Drosophila melanogaster: one gene and its partners. The protein of the gene in region 1 interacts with the protein of each later gene in a pairwise test. Each region holds a gene or a part of one and is shown on either strand. Other genes may lie near its edges.

Region 1 (8,712 bases):
AATTGCTATCAGGACGAAAAGTCGATGGATTTAATTTTATTTCGTAATGACTAGGAAGCTTGTTCAGAACAATGGCAACAACCCCAAATACTCGACGATCTTGTAACCCGTAGTGCTTTTTCAAACCAAAAATAACTGAAAGATGAATCCAAAACTGAGAACTCAATGTGTGCATGCCTAGTTATGTCTCAAATTGTAGTTGAATTAATTTATTTTGCATTTTAACTGTTGTTTTTCTTTAAATGGAATTTAAATCAAAGCAAGCAAGCAAGCAAATACTCAAAGAAACTCAAACTCTTAACTCTCAAACAATGCGAAGCAAAGCAGACCTTGAATAACTTCTTGCGAAGCCTATAAATAGTTATAAAATAAAGCTAACGATAACTTAAATTAAACTCTATATATATTATTATGTATGTACACTATATGCAAAGGATGATCAGAAAGGAGAGCCGATAGAGAGAGAGATAAGTGAATCAAATGCAATAAGAGGTCAATGATGAAATGATGCTTATTAATTACTCGCAGCCAACGTAGTGCTATATACAAATATTTATTCATTTGCATAAATAAAAGAATGAAGATAAATAAATATGATAATGTTCGAATCAAACGCAACTTCATGGAGAACAAGTCAAGTGAAAATATGTATATATATATATATATATATATATATATATGTATTGAAACCTACAGCTTGCGAGGCGATCGAATAAAGTTATAAATGTAAAATGAAGTTGGAAACAATATCGACATCTTGTCATCGAAACACATGCCCATTGGAGGGGATTACAAATTCAGCCGGTTCTTTCTTTGCTGTTATTAATGCGTGCCACAATTATTTATGCCCAATTTCGAAGTCATTTCAAACCGTTTGTCTCCTGATAATTGCTAATAATTTAGCCTCACTTGACGACCATAAGCCCCCCAGGCCATGGCTTCTTATCGAGCAGTAGGCCTCGTCAATGTCTCGAATTGGTCGCATTTAGTTATCGCATAGCACCGAAAAACGATTTTATTTTTATCACCATTCACCATTCATTATTAACTATTCATTATTATGTTATAATTTGTTTCTGTAAAGTACAAAATACTTTTTGAATGGTCATTACTTACCATTGAGAGCTTCCTTCTGACCAACCATCAGACCCCCGAATACTCTATTCGAACCATTCATGTTGATAAATTTGAATACTCACCTTGTGATATGTCACAAAATGGCCGTCAGTTGGGTTTTTCGGGTGCAAAACGTTATATCGATGGGATTTTGTCGGGGATCACACAACTGACTATCAGTTAGCAGAGCAACAAGTGTCTGCTCATGATGAAGCGTCGAAGTGATATGTCCGGGGATTACAAGTGCACTCGGTAGCATGTTGTATGGGCTTCCTTTCCTTCATATCTTGGAAAGCAGGCTTTGCATAAATTAGTTTCCTAAATGTTTTAATCTCTTTTTCAGTCAAGGTGCTTTCCATTAAGGTATATCAATTATTATGCGAACAGAAACATAAAATATAATATATGTATGATGTTCAAAGAGTTATTTTTAAAATTTTGATGTCATAAAATTTTAATCACCAATCGATTGACTGTAGTTTACTGCCCCTTTTCAACGAAGAACCCCCGAAAATTCTATTTGCAATTCATTAAATCACTTTTCAGCGAATCATATCAAAAGAAATAGGTTTATTGCCAAATATCACATGAATTTGAGTCATTGTCATATGTAGTGAAGTCATACAGTTTCGATTGAACTCCTGCCAATTTAAAGTAGTCACCATTTAGCAAAATCACAAAACTTGAAGAACTTTTAACTCTTTACTTTCTACTCATCGTGTGAACCGAAGACATGATAACATCCTTTCCACCAGCGGAAACTAAAGATTTTCATTGTTCCCGAAACTCGTCGAGGCCCAAAACTTATCTCGAAGGTACCAATTTCTGGGGCGACCTGAAAAACAACATCAAAGGGGTATCTATCAGTAACAATAACAACAATTAAAGGCATTTATGGGCTGTGCGTTTTCCATTTTATCACCCGGCCCAAGCCGAAATCAAAAGTAATCCATCATCTGAGAGGCTTTACGAGGAGCCCGAGTACAACTGATAAGACACCCCGAAACACCTATCCATGCCCCAGGTATACAGACGCATATATTGTTCCCAAAGAGCAGAGAGGGACGGCACCATGGCCGAAATCATAACACAAACTCGATTACTCAATCAAAGCGATGGCTCTCTGATGGTGTTGGTAGGGGGTAGGGTGGGGGGTGCCTTTTGGGGCAATTTTAATTTGTTTACAACAACAATCAACAGAGTAAAATAGCCAAACAGTAGCTGAGAGCTGAAACCAGGTAACGATACCGATAAGGGGTGATTAACAATTACTCGATCAAACGCACCGACCCGCCGAGTGGGAGGCGTTCTGGGGGAGGGTGGTTGGGTGGTTGGGTGGTGGGTTCGATGGGTTGGCAGCTCAATAAGCGGGCGAGCAGGGACTGTGATTTATACAACGATCGCCGATTGGGTGTCCAACCGCGTACCGATGTCGAGCTGTCGCCGCCTGCAATTGGAAATTGGAATATGGGTATTGGGTATTGGGAATAGGAATCGAGTGGAGTGGAGTGGAGTGCCATCGAGGCAGTGGAGCGCCTAACCAACCACCACTCGCTTATCAATCGATGGCCGGTAGCTCGGCACTATCTCCCATGCGCGGCATATCTACATACCGCTCTATTATTGTTAATATTGATATCTACCCATTAGCACAACATTATAGGTACAATCTATTATATTCTGTGAAATCAGATTTGGTACAATTTATAGCGCCCATGGGCTCTGCGACGGCTCCTACAGCTGGTGGCCATTAGTTCATCGCCTGCGGCCGACGCAGTCGCTTCGATCGCTCCGGACCCAATCAATCGGTATCTACAGTTCGTTACTACCGCTCTCAGAATCCACCAATATGGATATCGCCACCAAGTCCAGCAAGGCCGCCTTCTCCATTGAGAATATCTTGGAGCAGAAGAGCTCCTCGCATCGATCTCAATCGCGCAGAGGCTCCTCTCAAAGTCCCGTGGCGGTAACAGCAGGCATAGCTACTCCACACGCACTGGCCATGCCCAAGGCATCCTTGGCCACTGGATCATCCTCCGCGGCGCCTACACCCTCTCCATCGTCCGCCACCAACATCTACGATCTATCCCGCGAGGCAGCTGCCGCCCAGTATGCCATGAAGAGTATGGACTCCAGTGCTGTCCTGGCTCCCACTTCGCTGCGCTTCAATCCCATCTACCCGGATCCCGCCTCGCTCTTCTACCAGCAGGTGCTGCAGCTCCAGAAGAATCCCTCGCTCTTCATGCCCCACTTCCAGGCGGCCGCTGTTGCCGCCGCAGCCGCTGTTCAGCCAACAGCCTATTGTGATCAATACAGTCCATTTACCATGGACTGCGAAGGTGAGTACTTCAGAATACCTACTTAGTGGGGTTAACATGTATTTTAGTTGGGTGTTGAATGTCCTAAAAGATAAAGATTCATTTTCAAGATAATTGCTTAATTTTTGTGGTAATTTATGATAAATCATTCACTAAAATAAGGGTGCATGAGGAGAAGACATTACAAATTTATTATAAAGTTATGGTATTTCCACAGAGCTATAGAAAAGGTATAGAAATGAAATATTAAATTATATGCAATCTAATCTCAGCAAATTCAAAAGATTGTAAAGCAGTTATAAGGCCAAGAAGTATAGTATATTTATTCGACATTATGAATGAAGACAATACAGCATTTCTTTATTAAAAAAAATTCTAGAATAAGATCAAAATTATTCAATTATTCGAGCTGTATACATACATGCAAACGCAGTTGAAACCCTTAGGTCAAGTTATTGACAAGCTCATAAAATAATTGACTAATATATTAATTAATGCGGTTTTGAGAAATCTATTAGCCCAATGATGTCTATCAACAATTTAGTCGTTTGACCTCATTAGCATATTTCATCATACTATCAAATGACCGGAAATGAGTCACCTGAATATGAATGAATAAGCGCTACAATTATCAATTAAACACTAAAATGCAGATAAAGGCAGAAGCATTCTCAGAGTATGATATGTTAAATCCCTATTCTTAAATTCTTATTCATGAAGCTTGGAACCATAGTTTCTATTAGACTTTCTCACAGTTTTTAGCAAAGACTAGGATTGATTCGACACTACCAAGTTCAAGTCATTGAACCTACCCATGCTGACACCTTAATCTCGCTCATCAAGTTGACACATGGAAATTGATCGCCATGGGAAAGGTGTTGCCTGAAATCCCCATTTAAATACCAAATATCTAAGCTAGCCTAAGTCCGAAGTGCCCGGACCACCGAATATTACAATGGGGATCCCACACAAAATGGGCCATAAACATGATTAATGTGTGTGTGTTGTGGTGCAGTTGGGTATTTGTCAAAGTCAAGTGTTGGCGCCAATGCCACTCGAAATCACATTTTCCCCGCCCCAAAAACTGCATTTCCCGGTTGGTTTTCTGGGCGGTGGTGTAACGGTAGATTAGCCCTAGCAATGCTGATAAAGTCAAAGTCCCGAATTCCATCCCCTCGCAGTACAAATGCCCCATTCAGATCGGAAAATATTTCGGTGGCTTATCAGAAGTGACAAATATTTGAAATTCAGGTGAGAGACAGCAGAAACTATATCTATGGATATTTAAGTGACAGTTAGTTTTCATTGAAAGGCATTGAGCTGTTGATTTGGGAAAATCGAGCTGCTGCGAATTAGACGGACTGTGAGAAATCATACTCATTTAAACCTTTGGATAACACACAATTATCACAGGCAGTATCTTTCGATATAATTGTAGTGAAATAGGAAGGAATCAATACAACATTATAGTGGAATGGAATATCTAAGTGCACCTTTCTGTTCCCAATATGCCCGTCTTGAGGATATATCTATGATGAGTCCAACTGAGTTAGGATCATACTACGCCTCAAAAAAAAAAAAGGAGTATTGATTAGCTTGCTCTATGCCATACTGATCACACAATGCAGATAGGAGTATCGTCGTGTATAGGGCACTTCAACTGTACTGCTATCCCGATTTCCGATTTGTTTGGCTTATCTAAACAAAAATGCTATTAGAGGCGATTAATAGGCGCTGTCCATCATCTTATAGCCACGATTGCCATTTGATTACGATAAGCCCGTCCGTTCCCGACACTCGTTCCACCTGGACAAGGGGCAAATGGTTAGGGGCGGAGGCGGGTGTGGTGGTGTTGGCGACAAGTACCTGATATGATATTATTCCTTCAATCGGACACGCACATTATAAAATAATAACAAATCCAATTTTCAGCGATTAAATGCCGCTGGGAAGAAGATAAGGGTGCTCTGCGGCCTTATCACTCCCGAATACGCCACTTAATAAAAATAAACATGAATAAGTCTATTTGTAACGATTTAAATTATGGCATCTGCAATCGGATGTTATTTATTTAATGGCATTTGGCCATTTCCAAGGGTTCTTGGCCAGATCGCCTCACCAATGAGGTAACTGGGTCCCCAAATATCAGCTTAGTTCAGCGATGGAGCACACTCCAAATATGCGCCAAGTGCGAATTTCCGTTACCTTAACTAAAAAAAAAAAAAGAGGCCACCTTCCTTATCACATAGGTGTATGTACATAGGTGCAGATAGGTTCGCAATCGGATTGCCGTTCGGGTGCCAATTGATTTCGCCCAATTGCTACGAAATCTCGGCGTACAGTCGATCCATTTCGCAATGGCCACCATTCGCAAGTCGTCATCCAGTTACAAGTGGGCGTTGACATATTCTCCGATACTGATACAACACCCATACACTTGTACCACTCGCAATTGTTGTGTCCGATTACTTTGATAAGAGCGGGTGGGCGGAGATAGGGAAAACCGGGCCAATGGAGCCACCAATCACAATCCAATGATTGCGCCACTTTATATCGGGCAGATGGTTCAAAATCGTTATTCAAAGAAATCGATTGTCCTCGACTTTTTCATGGCAGCTTTTGATAAACTCTGAAGTGGGTCTATAATGTCATTAGTTCTTTAATTAAGATCGTATTAACAATGAAATATTTAGTTTAAATATTTCTCATCTGATATAGGAAACCCTTGTTCACAAAGTGAAGTGTTAACAATAAGTTAGTTCTGTAACCTCTTCAGCAATTGTAATCTAAAACAAACTGTCTTCCTTTTTAATCCATAGGATTCCCCAATCCTGCCTCCGCTGCAGCCGCCCTCTACTGCAATGCCTATCCGGCGGCCAGCTTCTACATGTCGAACTTCGGCGTGAAGCGAAAAGGCGGCCAGATCAGATTCACCTCCCAGCAGACCAAAAATCTCGAGGCTCGCTTCGCCAGCTCCAAGTACCTGTCGCCGGAGGAACGGCGTCATCTGGCCCTCCAACTCAAGCTGACCGACCGCCAGGTGAAGACCTGGTTTCAGAACCGGCGCGCCAAGTGGCGACGAGCCAATCTCAGCAAGCGCAGTGCATCCGCCCAAGGACCCATAGCAGGCGCTGCCGTGGGATCACCCTCCAGCGCCTCGAGCAGCAGTGTTCCCGTGTTGAATCTTGGCAGCGGAAGCAGGTGTGGCCAACAAAGCGACGAGGAGGATCGGATGTATCTGTCCGAGGACGATGAGGACGACGACGAAGACGAAGGCGAGGCGGATGAGACGCCCAAGTGAAGCTAGAGGATGGCCCATTGACTCATAAGTTAGTTTAGCTTGTAGTTAGGATAAATAAATTTATTTTATTAGAACTATAGTTATGCGAGTTAGTAAGTACTAGATGGGTGGTCTCCTAGTGGAACTGGTAGCTGTCCAAGCAGGCGCAATTGGGCAAGGTGCATCTTGGCGCCAGATTGGAGAGGTGACCCATGGTCACCGGAAAGGATAGCGGCACAAACCACTTGGGGTACGCACAAATGGCCGCTGCCGCCGCCGCTGATGCACTGCCTCCAAAGACCGGCGGCTTTAGCTCCACCACCGATTTGCTCTGGTACTGAAAGGTAAGATTTTGTATGTACTTAAATAAATATTTCATTAGGTACTTCCTACTTCCATGGACCACGCAAATCGTGACTTGATTGAATTCTGGAAGCGGAAATACAGACCGTTGAACTTAAGTAAAAACACAAAACACCTGTTACAGATTTGCTGTATACTATAGAATATAATACTATAGAAATAACCGGTATATTCACTTAAGTACACTTATAACTAAAAGGTACTTTATACAATTTGCACTATGCAGTTAGGTCGCTTACCTGATCTGTTATCACGGGCCTAAAGGCGCTGCTCCTGGGCGGCGCGGGCTGTGGCATAGTGGTCAACATGCCCGGCTCCTGGCTGGGCAACTGGTTGCTGGTGACATCCACTGGCGAGGACTTGCCAGTGGGCGAGACATTCTCAATGGCCCGAATCAGATCGAGATCGCAGCGCTTGAGGACCAACTCCAGGACAGATCGCTTACGCTGCGGAAAGAGCTGGGCAAGCATGTCAATGGCCGTTTGGGAGACGTTATCTCTTCGGGGAGCACTGAGATCCTGCGCCACCGCCGGCGATTCGCTGTACTCCTCCTCCCTCTGCTTCAAATGCTGCTGCTCCACCTCCGAAATGGTCTTCTCCACCTGATCATCCTCCCGCTTGGCACGCGGCGAACTAGGCTGCGTGACGGTCAGACCGAAGATGTTGCCTGGCGGCAGTGCATCGATGGAACGACCCGTCTTGTTGGCCACCAGCCGCATGGCAATCGCATCCTCCACCGCCTGCTGGCGCTTCAGGGCAACCTGAAAGCCCACAAATGGAAATTAATATGCGACAAGTGAACATCTTGGTCCGTTTGCTGCTGTTTGACTTAACCGCAAACAAAGGCCACAGCAATTCCTTGGGGTATCACCCACATCCTAGCACATCCTAGTACATCCTAGCACATCCTAGCTCATCCACAGCGATCTAATGAAATGCGAGACGTAGACACACTTGTGCAAACAGTTTCGGTAAGCGGATATTTTGGTCGATTTGTTCCTACGCCTTGACAACTTTCCATCATCACCATCATCGTCATCGTCTAAAGGGGAGGACTGGTTGTCCTTGTTCTGCTTGGAGTTGTTCCCCGTATTCCGTTTCATTGGCTGTTTGACTTGGCACTGGAGTGGGGTGTGTCCATCGGCTATTTGTGTTTCGAATTGAGAACTTGGCCAGCGCTTAATCTAAACACAATATAAATGGCATTGCTAACTATTTTTCCAAGAAAGCTGGCAATTGAATTCAGTTACACAGATTGATTGAATCCGGATGGGGTGGCTTACATATTATGTGCCAGATACAAATAGCTGGGAAAACTATCCACCTTCTATGTTGAATTGTTGAATTATTCTTGAATTGAGTTGATTCTGAACTTGTGTGTTGGAATTACAGCGACGGCAGGCTGGAATATAATCTGCATTCCAATATAATATATGGACATAATAATCTATATTCTATTGCATTTGCTACTATAATAAACCGTGTTATTGAAAGTCTCCTAAGATGTTTGGATCAGCTATATATTCCGCGCACACCATTTTTGAACGACTTAAGTTAAACGTGCTATATGTTGGAAAGGTATTTCCTATTAACAGTTCTTTTACATCATTTGTAAAAAACAATTTTCGCAGAAAT
Region 2 (7,210 bases), 4.0 Mb from region 1:
CCACCGGAATCGCCGTGACAGGCGCCCTCACCCTCGCGCGAAAAGGTGCAGATGTGACCCACACCCATGCTGCTGGTTCGGTTGAAGGTCTCATAGCACTCATCCAGAGGAACAAGGCCCACGGTCAGCTTGTGCAGGTCCTCCATGGAACTCCCGTAGGCCACATCGGAGCCCCAGCCCGTGAGGACGATCTCTTCGCCGAGTTGAACCGGTCTAGTTGGCAAAGCGATCGGCTGTGTCAGCTCATTGAAGGTGATGTTCTCGGTAAGCTTCACCAGGGCGATGTCGTTATGCATGTAAGGCTGGTCGTACATACAGTGTTTGTGGATCTCGGCGGTGTAGTAGATCGCTCCGGGCTCTGCCCACTTATTGGTGCCCGTGATCACATTGACCAGGGCGGGAATGAAATTTTCCACGCAGTGTCCAGCAGTTATGATCCAGTTTTCGTTTAGGATGGCACCACCGCAATTATGGGAGCCCACTATGGGTTGCAGGGACACCTGGTATGGAGCAAATCCGATCTCAGCCTCCTCGCCACCCTTTATCCTGCCAGATTGACCCGCAGGAAAGGGGCCAACTATGCGCTTTGATTCACAGGGATTTGGGGGCTTCACCGCTAGGAGAATTAAAAGGCTTAGACGGAGCAGCTTCATCTCGAAGGTTTGACCAAGTACTGAACACTAAACGTTAACTTCTTCGCTATCAAAACTTTATTAACTGGCCCCTGCTTATCGAGGCAATTTTATCGTTGCCTTATAAATTAGTATTTTTTATGGTGCACTATGATAGTCACAGTAAACGGAACCTTTAGGATTGGTTGGAGCTGAACCCAGTGCACTTTGAATTCCCACTCATGACATTGCGTATCCAATCACGATAGAAATAAACACTGGCATGAACGTCCTGAAAACAGAAAAAAAATTCTGATTCGGTTCTTAGAATCTTTATGTTTTCCAAGAGGCATGGAAAAGTATTCTTATGAAATTCACCTACAAAATTCTGCTGTTCATTGCCTTAACAAAAACGATTTCCGATCACTTACCGGAACTCCTGTTGCGCAGGGCCATCCCCAGTTGACCAGTCCCACCAGGTAACCATTGCTGACCAGAGGTCCACCGGAATCTCCATGGCAGGCACCTTCTCCCAGCCGCGAAAAAGTGCAAATGTGACCCACATCACAATCTTCATCGTTGCTCAGCAGGGCTTTGCACTCGCGATGGGGAACGTACTGAAGGTATAGAACCTGCAAATCGATGGGACTGGTGCCCCAGAGGACCGTGGATCCCCAACCAGTGAGGATTACTTCATCACCCGGCTGCATGGGCACCAAGGGCAACGGGATCGGCTGAGTGCGCTCGTCCCAAGCAATTGGCTCAACTAATTCCAACAGGGCAATATCATTGTGCATCTCCGGATTATCGTAGTTACAATGGATATGAATGGCTTTTAGGAAATACCTGCCTCCTGGTTGGTTATACTTATTAGTGCCCGTGACGACAACCAGCCATGGAATAAAGGCATTTTCGACACAGTGAGCGGCTGTCAGGACGAAGGTCTCGTTTATTATGGCACCACCACAGGAGTGGGCACCGGAGATTCCCTGCAAGGATATCTGATAGGGAGCGAAGCCATCCTCAGCTGCCTGACCACCGATGATCCGTTGATCCTTGTAAAACCGACCATCCGTTGAGTTTCCCTTGATTCGTATGGCTGTTATGGATACGAGTCCCGAAAGACCCAACAAAATAAGTAAAACCACTGCCGACATCTTGTTACTGGCCCTGGTCAGCTAATGAAGTTTTCAGTCGTACTTGCTGCCTTCTTGACCATTTATCGGAATCAGATAAAAAATCAGTTTATGGCGCGATTGTTGGAACCTTTGGTCAGGCCATTTTGACTTTCGTATAGTTCAATCAAAATCGCGAAGGGTAAAACCAGACTAGCTCAGTCCGCGATTGCATTTCAGCCATGTCGCTTGCACGTTTCCTATTTTATATTCTCGTGTTCAGTTCACTCTACTGTGACTTATTGGCATTGGAGCACTTCATTGTGGGTGGCCAGAATGCAGCTGAAGGAGATGCCCCCTACCAGGTGTCGCTCCAAACTCTTTTGGGTAGTCACCTATGCGGTGGTGCCATCATATCGGACCGATGGATAATTACGGCTGGTCACTGTGTCAAAGGATACCCGACTAGCAGACTTCAAGTGGCCACTGGTACAATTCGCTATGCGGAACCAGGAGCTGTTTATTACCCAGACGCCATCTACCTGCACTGCAACTATGACAGTCCCAAGTACCAGAATGATATTGGCCTGCTCCACCTGAACGAGAGCATTACCTTTAACGCACTAACTCAGGCGGTTGAACTACCCACATCCCCTTTTCCAAGAGGAGCTTCGGAGCTGGTTTTCACCGGATGGGGATCTCAGTCAGCGGCGGGGTCGTTGCCATCGCAGTTGCAGCGTGTCCAGCAGCAACACCTCAACTCCCCGGCTTGCGAGTCCATGATGTCTGCCTACGAGGATCTGGAACTGGGACCTTGCCATATTTGTGCTTATCGTCAGGCAAATATTGGAGCCTGCCACGGAGATTCTGGAGGTCCTCTAGTTCACCAGGGCACCCTGGTGGGCATACTCAACTTCTTTGTACCCTGCGCCCAGGGTGTGCCTGATATATTCATGAATATAATGTACTACCGCGACTGGATGCGACAAACGATGAGTGGCAATGGCAAATGTGCACAGGTCAACCAGCAGACAATAGATGGATAAAAACATTTGAACTCATTAAAGAACCTCAATTCATAATGTAATTCCTTAATGCTGTAAATAATTTATTAATTTATTAAGCCATTTAAACATAAGATAATTCCCAAACTGCCAGCCTTGTATCAAATATCACCAAACATGCACCAAAACCGCATAAAACCCGCACCAAAGCCGCACACAAATCGCCACCAAGCCGCCAAGAAGCCGCTAACAAATCGCGTGCAAGTCGAACTGAAAACGAAGGGCAGGATGTATCCTCTACGGGTCACTCGTAAGGGATCATTCTGTACGGGGCATCCTCTATTTTTTTAATTACTTGGGTTGCTGTAGTTCACTTGTTTTTTGGCGGGAGTGGTGAATTATTTTAATGTTTCTGGAGGCAAGTGATATTCTTGGCCCACAGCCAGGAGTCCGTTCAGTCGGACAGCCGGAATGTCTTAGTGATTCAGCCACCCGCCGTTTTCTGATTTATTTCGGAAGAAGAGAAGTGTCGCACTGGTCACACGTGTCGTCCTGATCTAATTGGTAGCAGGTAGACCCAGACAGACGTGGTCTTAGTCATGATTTGAGTTGTGAGAAAAATTTCGACACAAATCGCTCACGGCGCATGGAAATTCTGAAAATATTTCTATCGGCACTCGCTGTTCAGATGGGGGAAAAACAACCGGGAAAACTCTCAGTTGTGGGCTGTATCTTGGCATTTTGAAAAAGATTTTCAGTTGCTGTATTGACTTGGACGTGTGCGGTGCGGGCCTCGAATTTTCTTGGAATACGCGGCGTATACGCAATCCGTGAGCTATATGTAGACGCGTGTCTTGCTCATATTTTTATATATACAGCAATATATAACAAGTGAAATTTCGCAACTTGTGCAAAGTCGAGGAAAAAATTATGTTAAATCCAGTGAAAATGCCAAAGTATGTGAAATAATTTTCCCAATTAAGGCAAAACGACTTTGCAATGTATTTTACATTCTTACCAAGAGCGATGAATATTGCGCTAAAAGTATACGGCCAAAAAAAAACCGTTCGAATAAATATATTACCAAAAATAAAATAGAATATTTTGTGTTATGTGAATTTCAGTTTGAAATATTGCGTACAAGGCGTTGCCATTTCGTGATATATTCAGACGATGAAAGGCCTCTTTGCTGGATCCCAAAGAAAGAGCCATTAAATGTTCAGTTGTGAGAGCGTAAAGTGCATTTATCTGTCGGGCACCAGATGTTAATAGAGCCTCTGATCTTTATTTAGCCTCAATCGCATGCTCTGCCGCACCTGGGGTATCTGCGGGGTATAGTACCTAAGGGGACCCGGCATATGTATTTCCCAAATGATTTATTTAACTAGGCGTACACGTTTAAGTGATTTTTTAATAGAAGACATAAACCTTTTGTGCACCCTTTAGCAGATTTGTGCAGGGTCCTTGGGTTTTTCCATCACATGGAGACCTGGAAGTTGACGAAGCAACAGGTGCAGATGTTGTAGTATCCTCCCAGTAGGGATACGATGTGGTAGAATCTCCGTACGGAACCCAAGATGATGAGTATGGGTCCCAATAATATCCGGATGACGTAGTTGAGTCAGAGCAATAGCAGCCTGCCAAGACGCAAAACAACGCAAAGATCGTTAAGAACCTCATTTTAGCCGGCATTAATACAAACTAATAAACGATAGATACAATTTTATCAATTATATACTTCTTATCTTATTTATTTTCAATTGTTTAAAGAAATAATACCTTAAAACAGTTGGGCAAATGCCAAATATTCAATAAAAAGCCTAATATTTAACTAATATTTATTTTTCATATTCTATTGCCAAATTAATCACCAGCTGTTGTATCTAAAAATTTTGAAATTTTCAGAAGACTTTGTATGATTCATTTGAAAGCCCACTGTGCCATTGTTTATTATATTCCAATTATTTTCTAAATATCCAAGTAACAGTGCCGAATCGGGAAAAGCTAAATAAAGCGTTGGCACGTGAAATTACTTGACGGCAACGGGGCGTATGCGCAACAAGAGATTTTAACAGCCCAAGCAGCTGTTGAATTAATTCAAACGCCATGAATAATGATGGTCAATAAAAATAAAATTTGTTTAAAAGTACACGCGCTGCGCGTTCACACGGAAATTAAATAGGTTTTGAGAAATGTTAGTACAGAGTTGTTATGAATGGTGTTTCATATCTAAGCATAATTAGATCTTAAAATTCTTACTGGTTTTTTGAAGTTCATAAAAATGGTGACTATAGTTTAGTTTTCTTAATTTTATTTTACGGATTGATTTTGGTAGATCACTTAAGACTTCCTAAAACCCCTTTTAAGCGCCATGATAGCACTGAAATCAGATAATCAGAATAAAATTGTTTGATATATTTAGCGTGCTCTTGCTGCGTTTTATCTTCAAACGAGCATAAACATTCAAGCCAAATAAAATCGAGGAATTTATGACAGCTGATTTGGCCGGAGCTAGTTAGTCATCTCACAAGAATAAACAACATACAACTGTACATATGCTTTTCATTTAAGAGTTCTACGGGTTCTACGATCCCCCGATTTGGGATTCTTTATCAGCGCCTCGTGAGTCAAATGACGGGGAAATGCGGAATGTACTTGGGGCGACCGCCAGAGATGGCCAAAAGCCAATCATTTTTGCAGGAGGCACTTTCAATTGTGACCAGCAGCAGAGAAGATTGAAGCAAAAACATAAAACACAAAAGACGGCAACCAGTTCTATGAAAAGAATAACAACAAAATCAGCTGCGCGTCGAAAATCACATTTGTGATGAGTTGCAGGGGGTGGGGGGGGATTGCGGGGCAAGCGGTGGGTGGGGACTGGGGGGTCTCATGTGGTAGCGTCGCCAAAAACCTGCCAAACAGAGTCAAGAGTGCAGTCGACGTCGACTGCGACTGCGACTGCGACGCCGAGTCAACGTCACACGCAATACCAAAAACACAACACAAAACATGAAGCGAGATAAATATTGAACAAATTATGTATTGAAGACCTTTGACAGACGAGGATGCACTTTTAGAAACTTGTGAGAAATGTATTCATTTATTTAATATGATCTGAAAAAAATAAAAATACAAACCACAATTTTATATTTTATACTATAACTATGATATACATAATAATATTGTATTCTAATTTCATTTCCAACTTGAAATAATAATAGAAAAAATCGAAGGCAAACCTTTGTTATCTGTCAACCAGTAGGAGTGTGTAGAAAGTATCTTTTGGAATTATAACCTATAAGCGTTACCTAATATTTGCTTAGGGAGTTACTTAAGATGATCCCCGTCTGTATGATTTATCTGAGAAAATAATAATAAAGAAATTGAGCAATAAGCGGCGAGCATTTGGCTGCATAAAAACTTTGAGCAAGGAGGCGCACACAACTCAGTCGAGTTGAGAAATTGTCGCGGCCAGTACGAGTACGTGTAGCAAAGAACCCGAAAGCAACGCGCGCATTTCGTGCACACATTTTCAAAACCAAAAGAAAGAAATTCTGAAATTTGTTTACGAAAAAAAACGAAGGATTTGCCAGTCGTGTTTGTGTTGTGTTTTTTTAGAGAGAAACGTGCTCGCCACGCCAGGAATTGTGTAATTAGCGGGCCATCAAGTGTTCAGTATTAAGCACCCCCACTAAAGTATTACAACTCGAGATCATTCGACAGCGATCCCTATCAACCAACAGAAAAACCATCGATATGGCGTCCAGAAAAGTGAGTTTTTTTTTTTGTTGTTTTGTGGGCCTAGGGTGGCCCTTATCCGATCGGCAAACGTTGCATTTCACCCACACGATTTTCCACGATATATTCACGACGAAAATGGAGGACATGTGGTTCTCATTACCTGTTCATAAAAACTAAATATTTGTCAATTTATTTTTAGTCCAATGGGCGGTCGAAATTTGCTCACTTGCGCCTTCGCTGTGCAAATGTTGGGTGTAATTTTAGTTTCAAATAAATTCAAATTAATTAAAATGGAAGTGCAAATTTATTTAGCATTTCATTGGCGGCGTTCGTCGACGCTGATTCATGCGATTCCCCAGCGATGCAAGTGGCGCCTCACGTATTCATCGTCACTTGGCCGCCGTTTTTGGCCCGATTTGAAATGTTTATTTCCATATAAGGGTATCCTCAGCCAGACGCACTTGTTCCATATGGCCAGCTGTCCCCGAGCAGCTCCACTTCCTTGTGGAATGTAGTGAAGGTTTCGAGTCCAAAATATACGATTGTTATACGCATTGAACCTTGTAGAAGTGCTATTTAGGTGTTTGAAGTTTTTGGGATTGTTCTATATTTTTATTTTACTCAAAAATATGAATATTTTGAAGCCATATTATTTATAAAAGAAATATAATTTCTTGGCGTCAGCTGATTCACATGGAGTTGCTGTAGTTGTTGCCGGTATTTCAGTTGTACTTGCAGA
Region 3 (6,414 bases), on another chromosome or scaffold:
GTCGCGTCACAAGAGCAGCAGCAGTAAAAGTAGCAGTTCCTCCTCGTCTAAGGGCAGCAGCAGCACTTCCGCCGGAAGTAGGTCGCGTTCGAAGTCGTCAAAGAACCGCCACCACTCCTCGCCAGCTCCGGCCCTGCTGGAGTCCAATCACAAGGAGTCAAAGGGATCGAAGAAGAGTTCGGCCATAGCCGCTCCTCCCGTCGTCGCTGCTGTTGTTAAGGAGGAGCCACCATCTGTGGGTGCTGCTCCGGCTGCCATAACCATGTTCTCCTCCTCCAGCAACTCATCCTGCAGCTTACCGCCCACTCCCACGTTGGGAGCGGCCTCCAGCGAGGTGGCGATGGGGGTCAACTATTCACCTGCCCAGCTTCAGACGGATGCGGAAAAGCTGCCCGAGCTGCAGCCAAAGAAAAAGGTATTTCATATAATTGTGACTATAATAACTCAATGATACAATTACCGAAATCCTCTTCAGTTGAAGGGCTCCAGCGATCATCGAATAAAAGCGGAAAAGGAGAAGAACAAAGATAAGTCTCTGGTGAATTCCTACGAGCAGCAGCAAGTGCTCAGCGAACTGGACCAGGCAGTGTCTTCCATCACGGGAGCGGTTTCCGCCGAGCAGGTGGCGCCCGATGAGGAGGAACTGCCCTTGCCCAACACCTCCGACGAGAACTCCATTTCGCAGACGCTCGACGAAATGCTGGACAGCAAGCTGATCAACGAGATTCTGAATAACTTCGATGAGAGCGCTCTGGACACATCGCAACAGCAGTCACAACAGCAAGCGCAGAATGGATCGCTATCGCATCCCGCACAGGCCACTAAAAGGCTGCGCTTTGAGGACGGAACCATTGGCGAGGATTACGCCGTGTACCAGCAGCAGGCGGTTCAGCAGGTTTATGGCGAGGAAGAGCATCAGCAGGAGCTGACCACCATCGATGCCATGCAGTTGCAGCAACTGATTTACCAGCAGCAGCAGATGCTCGAGCAGCAGCAACTGCAAGAGCAGCAGCAACAGCAGCAGCAGGATCAGAAGCTTCAGGATCACGAGCAGCAGCGCCAGTTCAGCGTCTACAACGTGCCGTCTCTGACGGATGAGGCAATGGTCAATCCACAGCAACAGCAGCTGGAGGAGCACATGATCCTGCCCAGTATTATATACGAGATCACCGAGTCGAATCCCGTTTCCATGCTGGAGCAGAAGGTCTTAGCCGAATTCCTAACCAACGCGGGCTACGAAAATGTGGACGTGAATGTCGTGCAATCGGGCGGCATACAAACCAACTTGAGTTCTGGAACGGAGGCAAACCAACTGGCGGATGAACTGGCCGACTTTGAGTTCAGTAAACTGGAGACTGTTAGCGACACCGTAAAGACTGTTAAGCTGGAGGCCAAGGCCGCCAGCCAGCCACCCACAACAAATCCTCAAATCAATCACCATCCATCGCTGGCCAATGCCAAATACCACGAGGACAGCTACTTTAACGTGATGCTGTACTCCGGAGCGCCTCGTCCCTTGGCCATGAACACGTTTGGCATGGTGAAGTTGCCCCAGGGCCTGGGCGTCACCTTCCGCAAGAATCTGTTGACCACGCGGAAGGCGAACAACAATTTGCTATCCCTGTCGGGAGGTAATCACCTGGGCGTGGTCGGTCAGCTGGCCCGCACACCGCCGCCGCCCTCGCCAGCGTTAAGCAACGGTCTGCCGGGTAAGAATCCCGCCTCGGGCAGAACCATTTACGCTCAGCGATCGAATGTCATTGCACAAGATCGCCTGAGGTGCAATAAGAGGGCGCTGGTAGGAGGAAAAGCTGGTGGTGGATCAAGCGGATCGCCGGGAGTCATGACAGCCAAGCGTTTGAATGAACTGCTAATGGGAAAGGCGAAGAAGGAGGAGAAGCCACCACCGGATAGCGAGGATGGCGGCGAGCAGCCGACGAAGGACAAGGAACGCGACAAGGAGGAGGACAACAAGCTGACCTTCAGTTTCTACGAGAAACGCCGCCGACTGTTGGCCGGCAAGCTGGAGCAGCTGCAGCCCCTCGGCCGCCCCAGCTTCACCCTGCCGCTCCAGAGCAACCACAACGCCAGCCAAAGTCAGAGCCACTCGCCACAGCAGCTCCTCAAAAAGCAGCTGCTGCGCACCTTGTCCGACAGCAGCAGCAACATGAACATCAGCAACATGAACAACATCAGCAATTTGAACAGCAGCAACACTCCCAGCGCCAACAGCAATCCTCCCTGGAAGGGGAACAGTTCCAATCCGGGAGGCAACTCCACTCCAACCAGCAGCGACTTGATGCGCGTCTTCGTCTGATCTGAACCGATGGGGAAGGTCAGATGTGCGGACACGCATCCCTAGTTATATGTTTATACAATACCATGCTATTATGTGCAGCCTCTTCTCTAATGCTAAATTAAATTGTAATAATTTTTTAAATTAATTCTTCATTTTTTAAAAGTGATAATTATCTTTTAGTTATCTATTAGTTGATTGTATGTAATTCTTTGTTTATTCTAATTAATTTAACAATTATACATATTATTTTTCGTGGCTAAGCATTATGCTAGGTACTCGTAAATCATTATTTATACACGCTGTAAACTTTTTAAATACAAGAGCATGCCTAAGTTCAATTATACTCCAGACCCAGCGTTGCCTCATTGTGTATATCTTCCTCCAAACGAGGAGCAAGTTATGATTATGTTCCATGTGTTGAGAACAGTAACCGGCGAGCGAAGGAAACCAGCTTAGCCTGCAACGGCATAGTCGACTGTTCTGATGGATCCCATGAGCTGGCACAGGTGTGTGGAAGTGGAAGATAGATTTCGAGGCAACGGCACTGGGTAAGGAACATTGCAGTGGCAAAGGGTAAGGAACAGTGCAGTGGCTGTGGTTAGCCGAAATGTGGGATCCGCCGACCATGTCGGTCAGAAATAACATAAATTGTCCGGAATAGTGTGAAGCCATTCAAAAATTCGTATTAAAATAACGGTCTAAATGGTTTACGAACACGCTAACAATATCTATCGAAGCTTAAAACCTTATAATCCCTACGGTATGCGGCACAACTATAGATATCCTTAAAACAAATAATCACTAAAACGATTAAATAAGTGCCGAATAAATAAGTTACAATTTAAAAGAATATTTTATTGTGTTAAAATTAATTAAGTAATTGTAGTTGTATCTAAGTGCATTACCTATTTAGGTGTCGCGGAGTGTGCGTTTTCTAAGCTGGCGAACGGCCACACTGGCGGACAGGTATTTCTTTCGCGAACAATTAACATGGACAATAACATTATCCCGCTCATAATCGTCTTCTAGCCGCTTAAGGCCAGGTGAGATCATCATCATCGCTGGCCGTGAAATGCACCTGAAGATGCTGCCGTGGAAAGCGTGAGAAGTCGCAGGGAAATCGCTGGAAAGTCGCACGCAACGAAGTACTTAAGTAGATCAAACGGAACCCAAGATGCCAATCCTGCCAATACTCATTGGGATACTACACTTGTCCCTGGCGGAGGACGCCAAGCACCTCGATGGGTTCTCCCTGCCCAGCCTGCCGTCGGAACACCTCATCCGGTACCTGAACACCTTTCCCAAGCTGAAACAACAGCTGCCCACGAATCTCACCGGCAAGGGCACCATTTCATCCGCCTGCTGGGGCCACGAGCGGGACTGCACGCCAGCTGGCCGCTTCCAGACGCCCCAGTGCCCTGGGGAACATACCGGCTGGGCCAGGAGCAAGGAGGCACAGGTTAGGACCTTCTACAACCAGGCCGACTTCGGGTACATCCAGGAGCAGCTCTCCCAACTGACGCCGCAATGCGTGCCAACCTATTTGGGCGATTCCTCGCTAGAGTGCACGCACTACCTGCGCTTTTGTCGTGGGCGGAATCTTCTCTTCGACTTTCGGGGCTTGGAGCAGCGGGAAGAGCGCATTCGTTACCATATGGATGTGCTGGGACCAGGACAGCTGCTGGGGCACTGCAAGTTGAATCGGACTCGACTGTCGGGCGAAATGGAGCACATTGGATCGGCTCTGCAGTCCTGGGGTCCGGAGTTGCGTAATTTTGATGTCTTACCACATCCCGTTCTGGAGAGCGGTCTCTGCGATGTGGTGGTGAATACGCCCACTTTCATCATGAAAATCGATGCCACGTACAACATGTATCATCATTTCTGCGACTTCTTCAACCTGTATGCCTCGCTCTTTGTCAACCAGTCGCATCCGGCGGCCTTCAACACGGATGTGCAGATACTTATATGGGAGACCTATCCGTACGATTCGCCCTTCAGGGACACATTTAAGGCCTTCTCGCAACGACCAGTATGGACACTCAGCGATGTGGAGGGCAAGCGGGTATGCTTCAAGAACGTTGTGCTGCCGCTGCTGCCCAGGATGATCTTTGGCTTATTCTACAATACACCCATAGTAAGTGGAGGCAAACGTGTGTCGCGATGTTTCTAAGGTGTTCTTCTTTTAGATCCAAGGCTGCTCGAATAGTGGACTCTTCCGCGCCTTCTCCGAGTTCATTCTGCACCGCCTGCAGATTCCCTACAAGCCGCCACAGCAAAAGATCAGAATAACATATCTATCGCGTCGCACAAAGTACCGGCAAGTGCTGAATGAAGACGAGCTGCTGGCCCCCCTGGAGGCCAACGATAAGTACGATGTACAGCGTGTTTCCTATGAAAGGTAAGAAATGTTTAAATACACTCCTTGGGCTTCAGTTTAATGAGTTCCCCCCGCAGGCTCCCCTTTACCAACCAGTTGGCCATCACACGGAACACGGACATACTCATCGGCATGCATGGCGCTGGCCTGACGCACTTGCTCTTCCTGCCCAACTGGGCCTGCATTTTTGAGCTGTACAACTGCGAGGATCCGAATTGCTACAAGGACTTGGCTCGCCTACGTGGCGTTCGCTACCGCACTTGGGAGCAGCGGGACTTGGTGTACCCACAGGACGAGGGTCATCATCCCGAGGGCGGCGCACACGCCAAGTTTACCAATTATAGCTTTGATGTGAAGGAATTTGTGCATCTTGTCGATGGAGCAGCCGAGGAAATTCTTTCCCACAAGGAATTCCCCCGACGGGCATCAGAAAATCCCTCCAAAACGCAGCGCAACGAGCTGTAGATTGCCTCAATTGTGATTAAATGCATTTATTTTGCTTTATGCCAGACCCAAAATAAATCGGTATTATACAAAAGGATTGCATTTTCAATTTGAATTTATTTAAGTGTGACCAAATGATTTCGCTTCTGTTCCGCTAACAGATAAGAGCTGACTGCTGCATAATCGGCTATTTTATCGGCTAACTTACATTACTATTTGTTTTTGTTTACATTTTTCAACCGGCTTTAAAAGTTCGTAATAATTTATAGTTTTATGCGTTAGCTTAAACCCGAGGTCTAATAAAAATTTAACATAATGGAGGCCGAGGTGGCCAGCTTCGTAGAGCACGAACTTAATGATGTGGATTTGAAATCCTGGAGATCTATCAAGGAAAGTTTAGATAGCTTTCTAACCATTCTGCCCACGATATTGGGATTTGTTCTTTCCCGCCTGCTCTGCGGACACCTGCCGATGCTATCCACGAGGAGATTTCTCCTGGAGTTGTTTCTGATCGGATTACCCACCGTGATATTGATTACAGTGGGGAGTGCCTATAGCTACACATACTCCCTGGTGGTTTCCTTAGCTGTTCTGGTCTATATTTATGGAAATGTCGCTCCCAATCCTCCAAACTTCGTGTATAAGGTCGGTAAGAGACCCATAGTCTTCACTCTGCTGAGAGCAACTGCCTACAGTGGAACCTGTGCCGCCATTCTGGCTGTGGATTTCCCTTCGTATCCTACGGATTACCGGAAAAGCCGGACTTTCGGAGCAGCTGTCATGGATATGGGAATTGGGCTTTTTGTGGTGACCATGGGATTGGTTTCACATCGAGCACGGAGCATCACTGATCTTAAGAAACTAAGGAGATCTGTTATTCCGTTGCTGGTCCTAGGGCTTGCTCGCACCATTGTCATCACTTTGATCGACTATCACCAGGATGAGACGGAATACGGCCGCCATTTGAATGCCTTCTTCATACTGGGATTCACGAAATTGCTGGGCAGCTGCTATAGTCTGTTGGTAAACTCTGATGAACAGCTCCTGGCACTTGCAATAGGTAGGTCCAGAAAAAATAATAATGCAATAAATTTTAATTTCCTACGATTTTAGGTTTGCTATTCCTTCACGAAGTGGTGCTCCAACTGGGACTCTCCGAATTCGTCATGTCTTCTGCACCCCATGAGGGGTTTTTCAGTGCCAATCGGGAAGGCTTAAGTTCCCTACACGGATGTGTGGCTCTCTATTTGCTCAGCATTTACTTTGCCAAGTGGTATACTTCCCGTGATAG

The links.
Region 2: the proteins of HHEX (region 1) and cher interact in a two-hybrid assay, tested with the Drosophila melanogaster proteins (one large-scale study listed by BioGRID).
Region 3: the proteins of HHEX (region 1) and Eogt interact in a two-hybrid assay, tested with the Drosophila melanogaster proteins (one large-scale study listed by BioGRID).

What each region holds. Positions count from the first base shown.
Region 1 is NT_033777.3:21,074,937-21,083,648, reverse strand, and holds HHEX (hematopoietically expressed homeobox), read left to right. Parts: upstream 1-2,722; 5' UTR 2,723-2,965; coding exon 2,966-3,455; intron 3,456-6,253; coding exon 6,254-6,735; 3' UTR 6,736-6,787; downstream 6,788-8,712. Other genes in the region: dmrt93B (doublesex-Mab related 93B), read right to left, coding at 6,851-7,051, 7,317-7,838.
Region 2 is NT_033777.3:17,121,689-17,128,898, reverse strand, and holds the start of cher (cheerio), read left to right. Parts: upstream 1-3,509; 5' UTR 3,510-3,660; coding exon 3,661-3,686; intron 3,687-4,112; exon of another isoform or gene 4,113-4,140; coding exon of another isoform or gene 4,141-4,410; exon of another isoform or gene 4,411-4,422; intron 4,423-6,216; exon of another isoform or gene 6,217-6,486; coding exon of another isoform or gene 6,487-6,501; intron 6,502-6,811; exon of another isoform or gene 6,812-7,120; coding exon of another isoform or gene 7,121-7,210. Other genes in the region: CG31265 (uncharacterized protein), read right to left, coding at 1-653; CG31269 (uncharacterized protein), read right to left, coding at 808-903, 1,043-1,768; CG17477 (uncharacterized protein), read left to right, coding at 1,969-2,772; CG45079 (uncharacterized protein), read right to left, coding at 4,141-4,410; CG42779 (uncharacterized protein), read right to left, coding at 7,121-7,210. UniProt on the Drosophila melanogaster protein: Involved in the germline ring canal formation. May tether actin microfilament within the ovarian ring canal to the cell membrane. Contributes to actin microfilaments organization.
Region 3 is NT_033779.5:2,377,861-2,384,274, forward strand, and holds Eogt (EGF-domain O-GlcNAc transferase), read left to right. Parts: upstream 1-3,236; 5' UTR 3,237-3,473; coding exon 3,474-4,436; intron 4,437-4,488; coding exon 4,489-4,700; intron 4,701-4,756; coding exon 4,757-5,144; 3' UTR 5,145-5,213; downstream 5,214-6,414. Other genes in the region: Atxn7 (ataxin 7), read left to right, coding at 1-415, 476-2,317; PIG-Wa (phosphatidylinositol glycan anchor biosynthesis class W a), read left to right, coding at 5,439-6,183, 6,237-6,414. UniProt on the Drosophila melanogaster protein: Catalyzes the transfer of a single N-acetylglucosamine from UDP-GlcNAc to a serine or threonine residue in extracellular proteins resulting in their modification with a beta-linked N-acetylglucosamine (O-GlcNAc).